Linked DNA regions of Drosophila melanogaster. The protein of the gene in region 1 interacts with the protein of each later gene in a pairwise test. Each region holds a gene or a part of one and is shown on either strand. Other genes may lie near its edges.

The links.
Region 2: the proteins of Ccp84Ae (region 1) and mmd interact in a two-hybrid assay, tested with the Drosophila melanogaster proteins (one large-scale study listed by BioGRID).

What each region holds. Positions count from the first base shown.
Region 1 is NT_033777.3:6,688,993-6,694,745, reverse strand, and holds Ccp84Ae (Ccp84Ae), read left to right. Parts: upstream 1-2,987; 5' UTR 2,988-3,042; coding exon 3,043-3,054; intron 3,055-3,172; coding exon 3,173-3,787; 3' UTR 3,788-3,859; downstream 3,860-5,753. Other genes in the region: Ccp84Ad, read right to left, coding at 1,288-1,875, 1,937-1,948; Ccp84Af, read left to right, coding at 4,560-4,571, 4,630-5,073.
Region 2 is NC_004354.4:15,968,276-15,975,733, reverse strand, and holds the start of mmd (mind-meld), read left to right. Parts: upstream 1-2,666; 5' UTR 2,667-3,529; intron 3,530-7,458. Other genes in the region: Or13a (odorant receptor 13a), read right to left, coding at 242-673, 957-1,309.

The DNA of each region.
Region 1 (5,753 bases):
CGATTGGTCATGATTAGCGTGGTAATTTAGCGCGAATATTTGTCCGTGCTCGATTTTCGCACTTCAATGGAGAGGGGTAAATCGAGACCGGTTTTTAGACTTGCCAAAATATCCGGTAGCAACAATCGCACTTTTTGCAATTTTAATGTCGCACACAAATTGAATCTCAAATTACTTGGGACATATTTGCTGGTATCAAGTCCGACAACAACTACTTATACGACTATACAGGCTCTGCCGCTGACTCGGACCCGAAATATGTGTGTCCAATTGCGGCCAACAAATAATTTGCTCCACATTTCCCACACAAAGGTCTAGCGCAACCACATTAGCCAGACCTCTTGGCCTTTCGCTCCTCTTTGTTGGCCAGCTGGGTTGCTCGACTTGGGCTTGGCTTTGGCAACGGTTGAGTGCCGGCACACGGGGGATAATAATCGACAGCCTCGGCACTGGCCAATGCCCACCTTGGATCCCATTGAAATCACAACATGTGATATTTTGTTAAATACGCTCAAAAATTATGGTATACTTTTTTAAAGCTTAAAGAATCTACCTTAGGTGAACCTAATTAGCTTGAATTATGCTCTGGTTATTTGCGAATGAAAGCGTTCCGGAAACTATAAGATTTGTGTAATTTTCATCAGGATCCGGCTCCCTGTGTGTCAGTCTGCTCATATGAACTACGAGATATCGAACTTATAAAACTTGCTGATGATATCTAAAGCGTATCTGATAGTCTATTATCAACTGCATATTTTATTAAGCTTAGTTTGATTAGATAGACGCGCAGGGTATAAACATATCATACATTTTTAAAAAAATATTTAAAATAATATTGTTATATCTATAACTCTCAAGAATTAACTTTTTTATGTTGACTCTGTTAGTTTTAATCATAACTTCATCAATACCCTATCAATATAAAAATATCTAATGCAATCAAAAATATAAGCTGATGGTTTTAAAATTGCACATATTATTTAAACAAAATATTTGAGATTTTTTTTTTATTTTTGTAAAGATTTTGCAGTATTTTTTATAGGTATTAAATATGGCTAACACATCTAATTGAAACACATTAGAATGTCATTAATGAAGACGCTATCTCCTTGACTCAATTTTATCCGGATAAAACAAATCCGAAATTGTTTCAGCTGCCGTTGATGAAAATAGATGATCAATAGATGAAAATAAAAAAAAAAATTTTTTTTAATATTTGTGTGTATTTGTAGGAGGCAATTGTAAAACTATAACAGTAATGGGTTGAGAAACGTAAAATGACAGTTCTTAGTGGTGGTAGGCAACAGCGGGGGCGGCGTAGGAGGTGTAGGTAGCAGGAGCGGCGTAGTGGGCAACTGGAGCCACGGTCTTGACCACGGCGGGAGCAGCGTAGTGGGCAACCGGAGCCACGGTCTTGACCACAGCGGGAGCAGCGTAATGGGCGACAGCAGGGGCGGCGTAGTGGGCAACGGGAGCGGCGACGGTCTTCACAACGGGGGCAACGGCGACGGCCTTGACCAGGGGCTCACGGTTGACAACGGCGTTGAATCCGTTGATGGGATCGGCGGTGTACTGGACGGTTCTCTTGTAGCCATCGGCGTCGATCAGGGAGTACTCTCCGCGGACCACGTCGCCATCGCGCTCCTCCACCTGGCTCTTGGAGTCTCCGGAGAGGGAGTCCTGAACATCGTAGGCGTACTTGTACTGGGGATGGGGATCGTACTCCTCGGCGGCCTTGGCAAGAACCGGCTGGGCGTGAGCAACGGCGACAGGTGCTTGGGCGTAGGTGGCCACGGCGGGGGCGGCGTGGTACACCTGCTGGACGGGCAGAACACCGGCGCTGGCGGCGGCGATCAGGGCGAAGAGGGCGATGAACTGAAAGAGGGAAAGCAGTTAGGATGTGGGTCTTTGGCGGGGCTAAGTCCTCGGGGCGAACCTTGAATGCCATTTTGATTTGGATTGATTTGGCTGCTGCTGCTGCTGCTGTTGGTTGTTGGAAGGCAAAATGAACTGTGAGGGCTACTGGGCCAACACTTGGCTTATATACCGAGATGGAGCTATTTCTTCAGCTGCTGCTACCATTGAATGGCCGAACTCGCTTTTGCCGGCGGGCCACGCTCTTGGCGTAATTAGTGCAATTCATTTATGCTAAACGTGTGTGGAGAGGGAAAAGTGAAGCTTGAAGGCGTGCTCAATCTTTGTATCTCTGTGTTTTGTCATCAAATAACTTCAATTTATCCGAGAGAAACGGAGAGCGTGCGCTGTGACATCACTGCTTACTAAATCCAGTTAGCTTACAAGACAGTTAATATTGTGGCAAAAAGGTCGCTTAAAAAGATATTAACTCAAAACATCTAAATTATCGTAGCTTTATTAAATTAAAATTATTATTTTTTATCACCCACCTTTGGTTTCCAAAATTTGAAGATAGTTCACAGGCGAACAGCTTTTTAACATGCTTAAAACTTTTTTTTGTAACATATTTGTAATATTTTATGTAGGTTAATAAAATTATACAACTTTGTAGGAAATGTGTTTTAAATACATAATAATCAAATTATGATCCCAACATAAAATATTCATTATACCTCACCAAGACAAACCTATGGATACAAACTCAAAACGTATTTAATAATTTGACTAGCAAATATTTAAACAAATAAGATCAGAACTTTTATTCCCTTTTTATAAAAAATGGGTTCAATTATACACACTTACTTTGTTGTACTTTCCAAAAGAAAAACAACAAAATTGAATAAGAAGACTCCAAGTTTAAGGAAAATAGTAATTAAAATTGGCTTGGCGTAATCAATTAAGTGCAGCTGGTTATTTCGACCGATCGAAATTGGCAGAACTGAAGAAGGTGCGTGACAATTTTTACATGCCACCGGCGCCGCTCGAGGTGATGCGCCAAAAATGAATTCCAATTAGGTGTCATCAATGTCACCAAGTAGCGTATAAAATAAACGGCCCACAATGGGTCAGACATTCAGTGTTTGGCTTCGGCTCAAGACAGCAGTTAATCAAATTCATCCAACTACAATGGCAGCAAAGGTTTGTGCTACCAATTGGAGGATAAACGTTCCGGGGGACTACTAGTGGATTACCAGACTGCCTTCGCCTTTTTATCTTGGAAAAAAAAATCCTAAAAAGAGTGTAATTTATTCCGCAGATTGTTATCGCTTTGGCTCTGTTCGCCGTGGCCCATGGCGCCGTCCTTAGAACTGCTGCTCCAGTGGCAGTGGCTTCTGCTCCGGTGCCAGTTTTGGCCAAGACCGTTGAGTTGGAGGAGGTTGATCCGCATCCTCAGTACACCTACAGCTACGACGTGCAGGACACGCTTTCCGGCGACAACAAGGGGCATGTGGAGGAGCGCGATGGTGACGTGGTCCGCGGCGAGTACTCCCTGATCGACGCCGATGGCTTTAAGCGCACCGTGACCTATACCGCCGATTCCATTAACGGATTCAACGCCGTCGTCCGCCGTGAACCCCTTGCCGCTGTTGTGGCCGCCGAGCCGTTGCTGAAGGTTGCTGCCCCATTGGTCAAGGCCGCTCCAGTCGCCCCCATCGCCCCTGTCGCCTTGGCCGCACCAGCTCCCATTGTGCGCTCCGCTCCAGTGGCCGTCGCTGCTCCTCTGATCAAGTCCGCTCCCCTAGCAGTTGCCGCTCCGTTCGTCCGCTCCGCCCCTCTGGCGGTGGCTGCTCCCGCTCCCGTTCTGCGTACCGCTGCCTATGCCACGCCTCTGCGGTACACCGCCCCTGCGTACACCGTCGCCCAATTGTAAACACCCATGCGACCGCTGTTATTTTGAACCCTTGTTTTGTTTCTATGATAATAAAATGTGATTTGATATGTTAATTTGAATTGTGGTTTTATTTGGGCTTAGAAATTAAGTTATATTTTTACCAACTCAATTGAAATTCAGTTCAAGCATATTTCAAAGCTTTCTTAATTGTTCCCATGATTTGACTAGTATCCGTAAAAACTCTTATTTAATCCATCAGTTTGCTTTTAAGCAGACTAACTTATTCTTGATTCTTGAAGTGTGCATTGAAATATATTTATTATTATCGTCTAATGTGCTTTTCAATTCAAAGTATGTAATCAGTGTAGGTCAGTTCCAAGCGTTTTGAGCTGCCCGGTAACATGATATACCACTCAAGGCAGAATGGTGAAAGCATTTAATTCGCAATAGGCACCAAAATCCGAGGGTCTCTCCCAAGACACTAAGCCGCACTAGATTTGGATGCGGATTGCATAAAAGTATCTCTGGCCCCCGGCGTGGGCAGTTGTAAGTGCCCATATTCCAGTCGATAAAGTAATAAGGTAAATAGCATAGCGGTAATACAATAATAAATGTATAAAATAAAAAGTGACAAAAATGATTTGCCCAACAGCGAATTAATCAGTTTCAATTCGTTATTCGCATTTTGCTTTGCACACGTTCAGTGGGTATAAAAAGCAAAGCTCGTGTTCCAGTAAATCATTCCACAGCTTCACCGTCTTCGCAGCAGTTAACGGATAACCACCACCAGCCCTCCTCCAAGTCCAGAGCCATGGCCTTCAAGGTGGGTAATCCTTACATGAATATCCGATCCTTTCAATTACCCCTCTTTTCTCCCACAGTTCTTCGCTGTTCTCGCCCTCATCTCGGCCGCCAGTGCCGGAGTTCTTCCCGTCCAGCAGGTGTATCACGCCGCCCCCGCCGTGGCCACCTACGCCCAAGCACCTGTCGCCGTTGCCCACGCCCAGCCGGTTCTGACCAAGGCCACCGAGGAATACGATCCCCATCCCCAGTACAAGTTCGCCTACGATGTCCAGGACTCCCTTTCCGGAGACTCGAAGAGTCAGGTTGAGGAGCGTGATGGCGACGTGGTCCATGGCGAGTACTCCCTGATCGATTCCGATGGCTACAAGCGCATTGTCCAGTACACCTCCGACCCGGTCAACGGTTTCAACGCCGTCGTCAACCGCGTTCCCCTGGATCACGTGAAGACCGTGGTGAAGACCGTGGCTCCTGTGGCCGTGGCTGCTGCCCCTATCCCAGTGGCCTACCACCAGCACCACTGAGGAACTCTCCTACTGATTTGTTGAATCCGTTTGTAGATCAAATAAATTGTTGAATATTTGTAAGCTGAAAGAAATCGAAACGCATTTTTCTTTACGTCTTGTAAGGGATCTCGCTCATTAGCAGGCATTAGTCAATCAAAATATTATACATATATTTATATATTGTATTGTTAAAGTAAATTCGTAATATTGAAAAAATCTAAGAATTACAAGTTACACAAAAGCACCCAGTAAGCAACTTAGATGACCATCAAGTGGGAGCCCGCCTGGTACCAACGAAAAACGTCACTGGAGCTGCTTACTCTGCATCACCTTGGCTCCTCTTAAATCCCTCTCCAGCATATGCACTTTGTAATCAATTTTCTGCCGGTAATAAGTCATTAAGGGCCCAAATTGATCAGGCGTTCGCGTCCGACCCATTTTACACCAATCAACGAAAATTGGGGTAGACATCCGATCGGAAAGAAACGCATCGATCGGAACATTTCAATAAAACCATCTGCGTCGAAGGCTTATTGAATTTAATGCATGTAATGCGGTCCGCTCTTGAAAACCAGTTAAGGTCACTATGCTGCAGCTTTGAAGTGGCCAGAAACCTTTCGCCAAGTCCCTCGATTATTGGGGTCCACTTGAGAATGATATACGCGACATCATGGGACCCAAACTACATATTCTCCTTA
Region 2 (7,458 bases), on another chromosome or scaffold:
TATTGTAATAAAATCGTTGTAATAGAATTATTGTAATAGAATCATTGTAATAGAATCGTTGTAAAAGAATCATTGTAACAGTATCGTTGTAATAGAATCATTGTAATAGAATCATTGTAATAGTATCGTTGTGATAGAATATTTGTAATATAATCGTTGTAATAGAATCATTGTAATAGAATCATTGTAATAGGATCATTGTAATAGAATCATTGTAATTGAATATTGGCACGATACCAACCTGATAATATTGTTGTGTTTTTCCACAATACGTTTGAGTCGCTCCAGCTGAATGCTCTCGGCCAATTCCGCATTGGAACCCGCAAATAAACCTGCGATTCGTTGGTGTAGCAAATGAAATTGGCCACAAGTGTAGGTTATGAAGAAGCCAAGAATGGTGTCCTCTGCAAACAAGGTGGTGACCACACAGATTCCCGCGTAGGAGGTGAAGATGTAGGTCATCACATATCGGATCCAACTGCTCTGGGCATCGTACGGAAAGATCATCTTGTAGGGAAACGGCTTGTTCTGTGCATCGAAGGCGGGTCCAAAGAAGATCTCCACCAGCGGCAGGACACAATACATTATGATCAGGCACGCTAGCAAGGATGTCATTATGCTGAAGGTAACCATGCGTCTGCGACACTCGGCGGCAACATTGTTTTTGGAAGAACTGGAACCCATCATATATTTATATATGTAAATAAAGATTTTCTTACAAATACAGTTTGAAGATGGGTATAGTTACTCAAAAGTCTATATTATCTCAAAACCACTTTAAGTGTCCAAAAGCATGCTTAGAAAGCAAAGTTTGCTCTTTTGCACACAACAATGTAGCACACTTTTCTGCGCATTTACTCAAGTAAGATTGCAAACCTCTATAGTTTTCAATGCTCTGCAGTTTAATGCGATGATCATTTAACATCGCTTATAATAACCCTAATGAATCGACTCACTTAGGTATCCAAATTTCGTAGGAAAAGTTCTCAATAAGCTGGCGGAATTTCCTCTGATTGAGGCGAAGATGGATGAGTCGGACAAAGTTCAGGACACCCATAAAGGTGGTGCAACAATTTTCCGTGGTGATAATAATGTCCGAAAGGTTGTTCAGCAAAAAGGCCGTCTGATAGCTGATTGTTATGCCCACAGATGCAATGACGTACCACGCCCACACGATGTAGGCGGTGGCCAATAAGGATTGGCTCCTCCATGGCCTCGATGATTCGGTTAATGGCCAAGAACCATTCAGTTTCAGCCAAACGCACTGAATGGGAAAGCTAAGTGCTTTGTAGGGATACGAATAGAACATGACTATCTGATAAATGCCACAGCACTAGGTACATCTTAAGGCATTTCTTTCATTTATAGCTTACCAACTGCGCCCTAAAATTACCACTTTTTTAATCATTTACCCTAATTGCACAGTAAATATTTTAGAAAGCGTTTGCACACAAGGCATATACTTACCACCTCATTAAGTGCCGAATATGAAATTTTGATCAAACGCATTTTCCAAGGAGGTGTGTGCCTGTGAAATCCATTAAACTATACTACTTGTGTGTATTTTAATTTTGCTTTATTTTGAAGAACAAAGTGCGTTTTGCTCTCGAAAAATAAACAGGTAAACAGGTGCACATATTTCAATTTTGTTTTCAATTTAATATATTCAAATTAAAAAGCAAAACTAAAAGTATAAACATGCAACCTGCGCCTGAAATCCGTAACACTTTTAGATATATATATATTTTTTTTTCAATTTCTTATACATATTATTTCATTGTAATTTTCCATGATTTTCCATTTATGTATGTTGGCTAACAATGCGGTCTGTATTTATTTTTAGGCTTTCATTCGCCCAAACTTCATTTCGAAACCAGTTAATTTAAATCAGGTCACTGCTAGCTGGGCGTAAGAAGGATATAGCTTCATTCAATTAGACGACGGGGGCGTGGCCAATCTGTGGCGTGGAACAGTGTGGACCCAGTTCTCTGTCCATTGTTCTGGCCAAGATCTCGACGGCCAGATAGACAGGCAGCCAGACAGAGATACAGAGAGACAGACAGACACGGCTAGATGGAAACGTATGTAGAGGCGTAGGTGTATACTACACTTCCTTTTACAATTACGCACCTTTGCACGAATACAATATACCCTTTTGCTCCACATAACGGACATAAACAGACGTACCCGGATTGTAAGACTCGTTGGGGCCAAGGAGTGGATTTTTTTTTTACCGACTTTCGGCGAGAGAGCCAGCGGCTGAGTGCCGAACACCAACCAACATCCATCCGAGGACCAAAAGGATGTGGCCCACACAGCCCGAGAGAGCCAAGATGCTGAATTGTGACGTGACAATAGAAGCGGAGAGCGAGAGATGTGGCCACTCGGCTGGGCTTGGTTTGAGATATATTGGTATGGGATGGGATGGCCGGGATTGGGAATCTCCCAGTTGAGATTCCGGTGCTCTGCGACTGCGTCGTATTTGGCTGACTGAAGAATGGCTGGTCGACTGGGTTGGCTGCCTGGTTTGCCTCCGGTTGGAGGCAATCGTTTTTCGCCTGGCCAAAATCCTGCAGACGTGTTCGAGAGCTTTAGAACGTTGTTTGCAATTGCGGAAAGCGGTTAGCGAGGCACGAGACACGGCGATAGTTTTTAATAGAAGAAGCAGCAGCAGCAATAAAAAAATAAAATAAATTAATACAAAAAACACAAAAAACATACAAAAACCAAAAAAAAAAAAAAACAAACAAACAAACAAAACGAAATACGAAAGCAGCAGAAAAGAGTGCAGATGCAGGAAATAGCCGTATAGTTCGCAGCCAGCGGAGCAATAGTTTATTGAGGAATAATCCCCGAGTCGGCGCCCAAAAAGATCCAACAAATACCCCAGAAACACAACTGAACAACCAGCCCAGGCAAAAGTATATACATATATATATATATATATATATATATTAACAAAGAAATTCGTTTTCAAATCCCAACACACCGTGAACTTAGAATATATATATATACATACGCGTATATATATATGTATATATATATATATATGGAAAAAAGTAAAAGAAAAGAGGAAAAACGAAATGCCGAACGGGTGGGCAAAATGTGAAAACCCAACAAATAACTACTCAGAATCAAATGTTTGATATAGTAACGTAACGAAACGCAACGCAACGCAGCTCTAAAATCGGCTACTAAATCAGCACATTCAAATCAAATATGGAAAATACAAAAATAGAATAAATATATATATATGTCTATATATGTGCACATATATGCGTGTATATGTATATGCTGATGGCGTAAGGATGAAAAGATCATAAAATACATATTTTATGAAAATTTTTTGCATATTTTTTTTACTGTTTGGCCAAAATAACAAACTGAGTGTGTTCATAAAGCAGTACAATGTAAACTTAAAAGCAAACTTAAACGCAAAACGGATAACAAATAATTCATAACTACTCTCCAACTACTGTTTCAATGGATTCTGGTTTTGATTTTTTTCGAATTTCCCGAATTTCCATTGGTGAGTACCGCAATTACGTTTATGTATTTTATATCTATCAAAAATCGCTACACATCCCATGCATATATATATATATATATAGTATATTTCGGTATATGTACATGGCCTCAAGGATTCCAAACTCTGGCAGATGGAACTGAAATAGTTTGGCTAGCTGGATAGTTGGATTGCTTTATGGCCGTAATTATACGGGGGAGGGGAAAATGTATACTTGGTCCAAAACACACACCACATGCCCAACATACTTACTATTATTGCGAATATGGTCCAACTCCCGACTCTCGAGCGGAAATGAGGCGCGGCTGACTGCGCATGACCAATGAATAATAGCGATACAGAAATGCTTTTATCCCACACTTTGTATTCCAATGCATATCTGGATATCCTCTCTCCATCTCGACGTCTCACCGTCTCTCCATCTCGTCATCCCTTCTCTGTCCATGCCGCTCCATTGGCATGCGAAGGAATTTGGAATTTTTTTTTTTTTTTTTTTTTTGGCAAAAGGACTCTGGCAATTCGAAGTGTGTCAGGACATCATCGCCTTTTTCAGCGTCGCTTGCAATGGTGCGCTCCTCCACCAACGCCAACTGAAGACACATTTGTTCACAATTATTTGGGGGTCTGGGCATGCGTTGCCATTGACCCATCTAACCACCCGCAGTTGTGCACGGCAATTCAAATCTCAACGTGCCCCAGTGCTTTCGATTGTTTTTAAACAATTAAATCCACCGCATAATCCCATGCCAGCCAAACGAAACACGTAACCGGATTTGAGATGATGGCAAAGTGATTCCAGGATGATTCCCCCTGCTGAGTCCTTGAGTTTGTGAGTTCTCGTTTAATGGTTGGTTAACTCGTGAGAAATCTGCGCTGGCAGTAAAGTAAACAAGCAGCGGGCAATTTGTTTATCAATCAAAGAAATGGTGTCGGAATTCCGCATTCGCGAGTGTGACAACGCCCAAATGTTTGCTGATCCATAAAGGAGAAGAGCTCCGCGATTAGATCGCCCTACCTACCACCACGCATCCTTCGAAGCTCGAACTTCCCTATCGTTTGGTAGCACATTGACTCCAGATGGACTTATTGGGGGCACAAATCAAAACGCGGCAAAACAATGGGGCAAAGACACAGATTAGGTCAAATAACAATGCTGCTATACACACGAAGAAAAAGGAATGAACTTGTGAGGGAAACTAAAGATGAATGGTTTGAATACAATACAGTTTTCTTTGCATACATTTAACGGACTGAAAAAAATCTTTTAAAACTGGTTATGCTAGGGAAAACATTATTTTTTCATATCCTGTTAACAAACATTTGGTATTTGATTAGTTTCCGGAATCCTTGAATTTTTCTTCGAGTGGCAAACTTATGGCTCTGCACCAGATTAGAAGCCATGACCTACGATTTGATATAATCAATCAAGGCTTGACTTGTTGCCTGTTCAATAAATAGTCAGGATATTCAGAATTCACAACAGTTGAAATCATTTACAAAACGCGGCTTTGTATGAGTAAATCTTTTCTGCGTGTGTAAAACTACAAAATGCTGCCCAATGCTAGTGAGTCAGATACTGCCAAAAAAACTTGTCGGTATCATGGAGTGAGCCAACTTTTTGAGAAACATAATAATGAAAGTTTTGTCAAAACGAATAAATTGGGAAACACTATACGATGGAGCTTCAGCTTTCCGTGCTGTTGTTACTCCATTTGATCGGGAATAGTTTTAATCAAGTTTTAATTGGCAAAGTTGCACAATGAGTGCAATCATTAGTCAGCAGACAAAAAATTGTGTGGCTGGCAAGAGGAATAACTCATTTTATTGGCCCACAGATCCACATCCGCACACATGTCTGCAGTTCCCATCTTTGGAATGCCGTCTAGTCGGAGGCTGCGCATTCGGTCTTTGGAGAGCCAGCCAGCCAGCCAGTCAGCCAGCCAGCCGACGACCACGACTCTCGCGTCCTTAATTTTCATCCCTTTATTTATTTATTTTCCTGTCAGCTGCCGCTGTCTGGTGTGTCTGCCCAAGGTTTCTGTTTCGCATTCTGTTTCTGAATTTGAATCTGAATCTGAGACTGAATCTGAGACTGAATCTGAGACTGATTCTGAGTCCGTTTCGGCCGTGGACGCCCACGACAGCGAGGGAAATATGTGGCCATCCGGAGAATAGATTAACAGGATACACCAGTAGTTAGGGACCTCAGCTCATCTACTCATCTTCATCTTCATCGCCCCTTCATCATCATCATGGGGGCTCATCTCATCTTGGGGCTTTAAATTATGCGACTTGAGTTGTGTTTGTTGGTAAGATGTTGTCATATGTATGCGACCAGCCACTTGGCCTGGAGAAGTACTCATCAAGGTGCCCAAAAGTATGCCACAATGTATTTAAAATGTGCATTCTCAACTCTTCAAGTTCCTTATGCTTGGGAATTGCTTGGGTGGTGTGTTTCTGAAAAATGGTCCATATATTTGTAATATATCATCAGAGTTATTAAAGCACACGAAGAACTGTCTAAAAGTATGCTACAATTGTGCGCAATTATTATACTATACTATGTCTGTTGGTTTAAACTTAACTTATGAAGGTTTCTAAAACTTCTAAAAGTATAAATAGTTAAGTTAAAATATTTATATGTAAAGCATACCATTTTTTCTGCTACAAATATAAATTACCATGTTTATACAATACTTGCATATATTATTTATGCCATATTAGCTTAGCACTTTTGACCGGTTTTTAAACGAATGACATAAAATCATTTGCACTAATAATGTCATTGGCTGGTGAATAAACTTTGTTTGGATACAGCTTTCTATTGGTCGAAGTTGCTTGTTTATTACATTTTTAAAAGTATATAATTGGATTTAGCTGAAATTTCTTAGATAATTCAAACACTCTCGCTTGCCATACGCAAATTGTGATATGCATTCATCTTTTTAATGCAATTAAATGTTATGACAAAACTTTGAAAATAAGTTACTTCTCAGTTGTTGTTTTATAAATTGAAACCATTCTCGTTGTTATCCTTTTCGTTAGTCCTTTTACTCCTTGTAATTTTCCATGTGGGCCACTGTCGCCTCCTTTTGCGGCAATAAATTTACTCACTGCCTTTTCGCCGAAATGACCCAAATTTCAGGATGCCCTCCATATAAGGGAAAATTCAATAAATTATTGCTAAGCCTTTGGAAATTGTGCAGAACCTGTTGATTCTGCAGCCGCCGCAACTAAGCGCTTAATTAAATTTTAGTCGGAATTTTCACGTATATGTATACGCATTTGATATTTTGGAAACAGGCAAAGTCAAAAAAAAAAAAAAAAACTTATCATATATAATATTATTGCCAATAAGATACTATTTATATTACGTTTTATTGAAGTCGAGCACAATTTCAATATCCCTGGATTGCATAAGCTTATGTTTGAAACAAGTAATTTGAAACTGATTGCTTGCTGGGGCAAAAGAGAAATCACAGTAATTGCAGTAAAAGCAAACATTTAATTTGCACGAACGAACACTTAAACAAATTAGCTGACTACACTTAGAAAAACGTATGATACAAAACAAAAACATTACTCGAATATCATTTGAAGCTAAGTGTAAACTACATTTAAGAGAAATTGTCACAAATTATATATTTTTGAGAGCGATTCTAGCTTCGAGTTTCGCTCAGTGTATGCAATAACTGGCGTCAGCAGCGCAGCTTCCAATTTTCCCCTTTGATCCTATAAATTATGTTCGGTTCTGCTTTTTAGTCTCTGATTATCTTTCGGTGCATACGATTGCTGAATTCTGGACGGACGAGTGAATTTTCGGATAAATCCATCGGTGTGATTAAATAAACCATATAAGGTGCAACATCAGTTCTTTTTTTTCATGTGACTACTTCAAGAAGGTTAAGGCATCCAAAGCGGGCGAAGCCGAT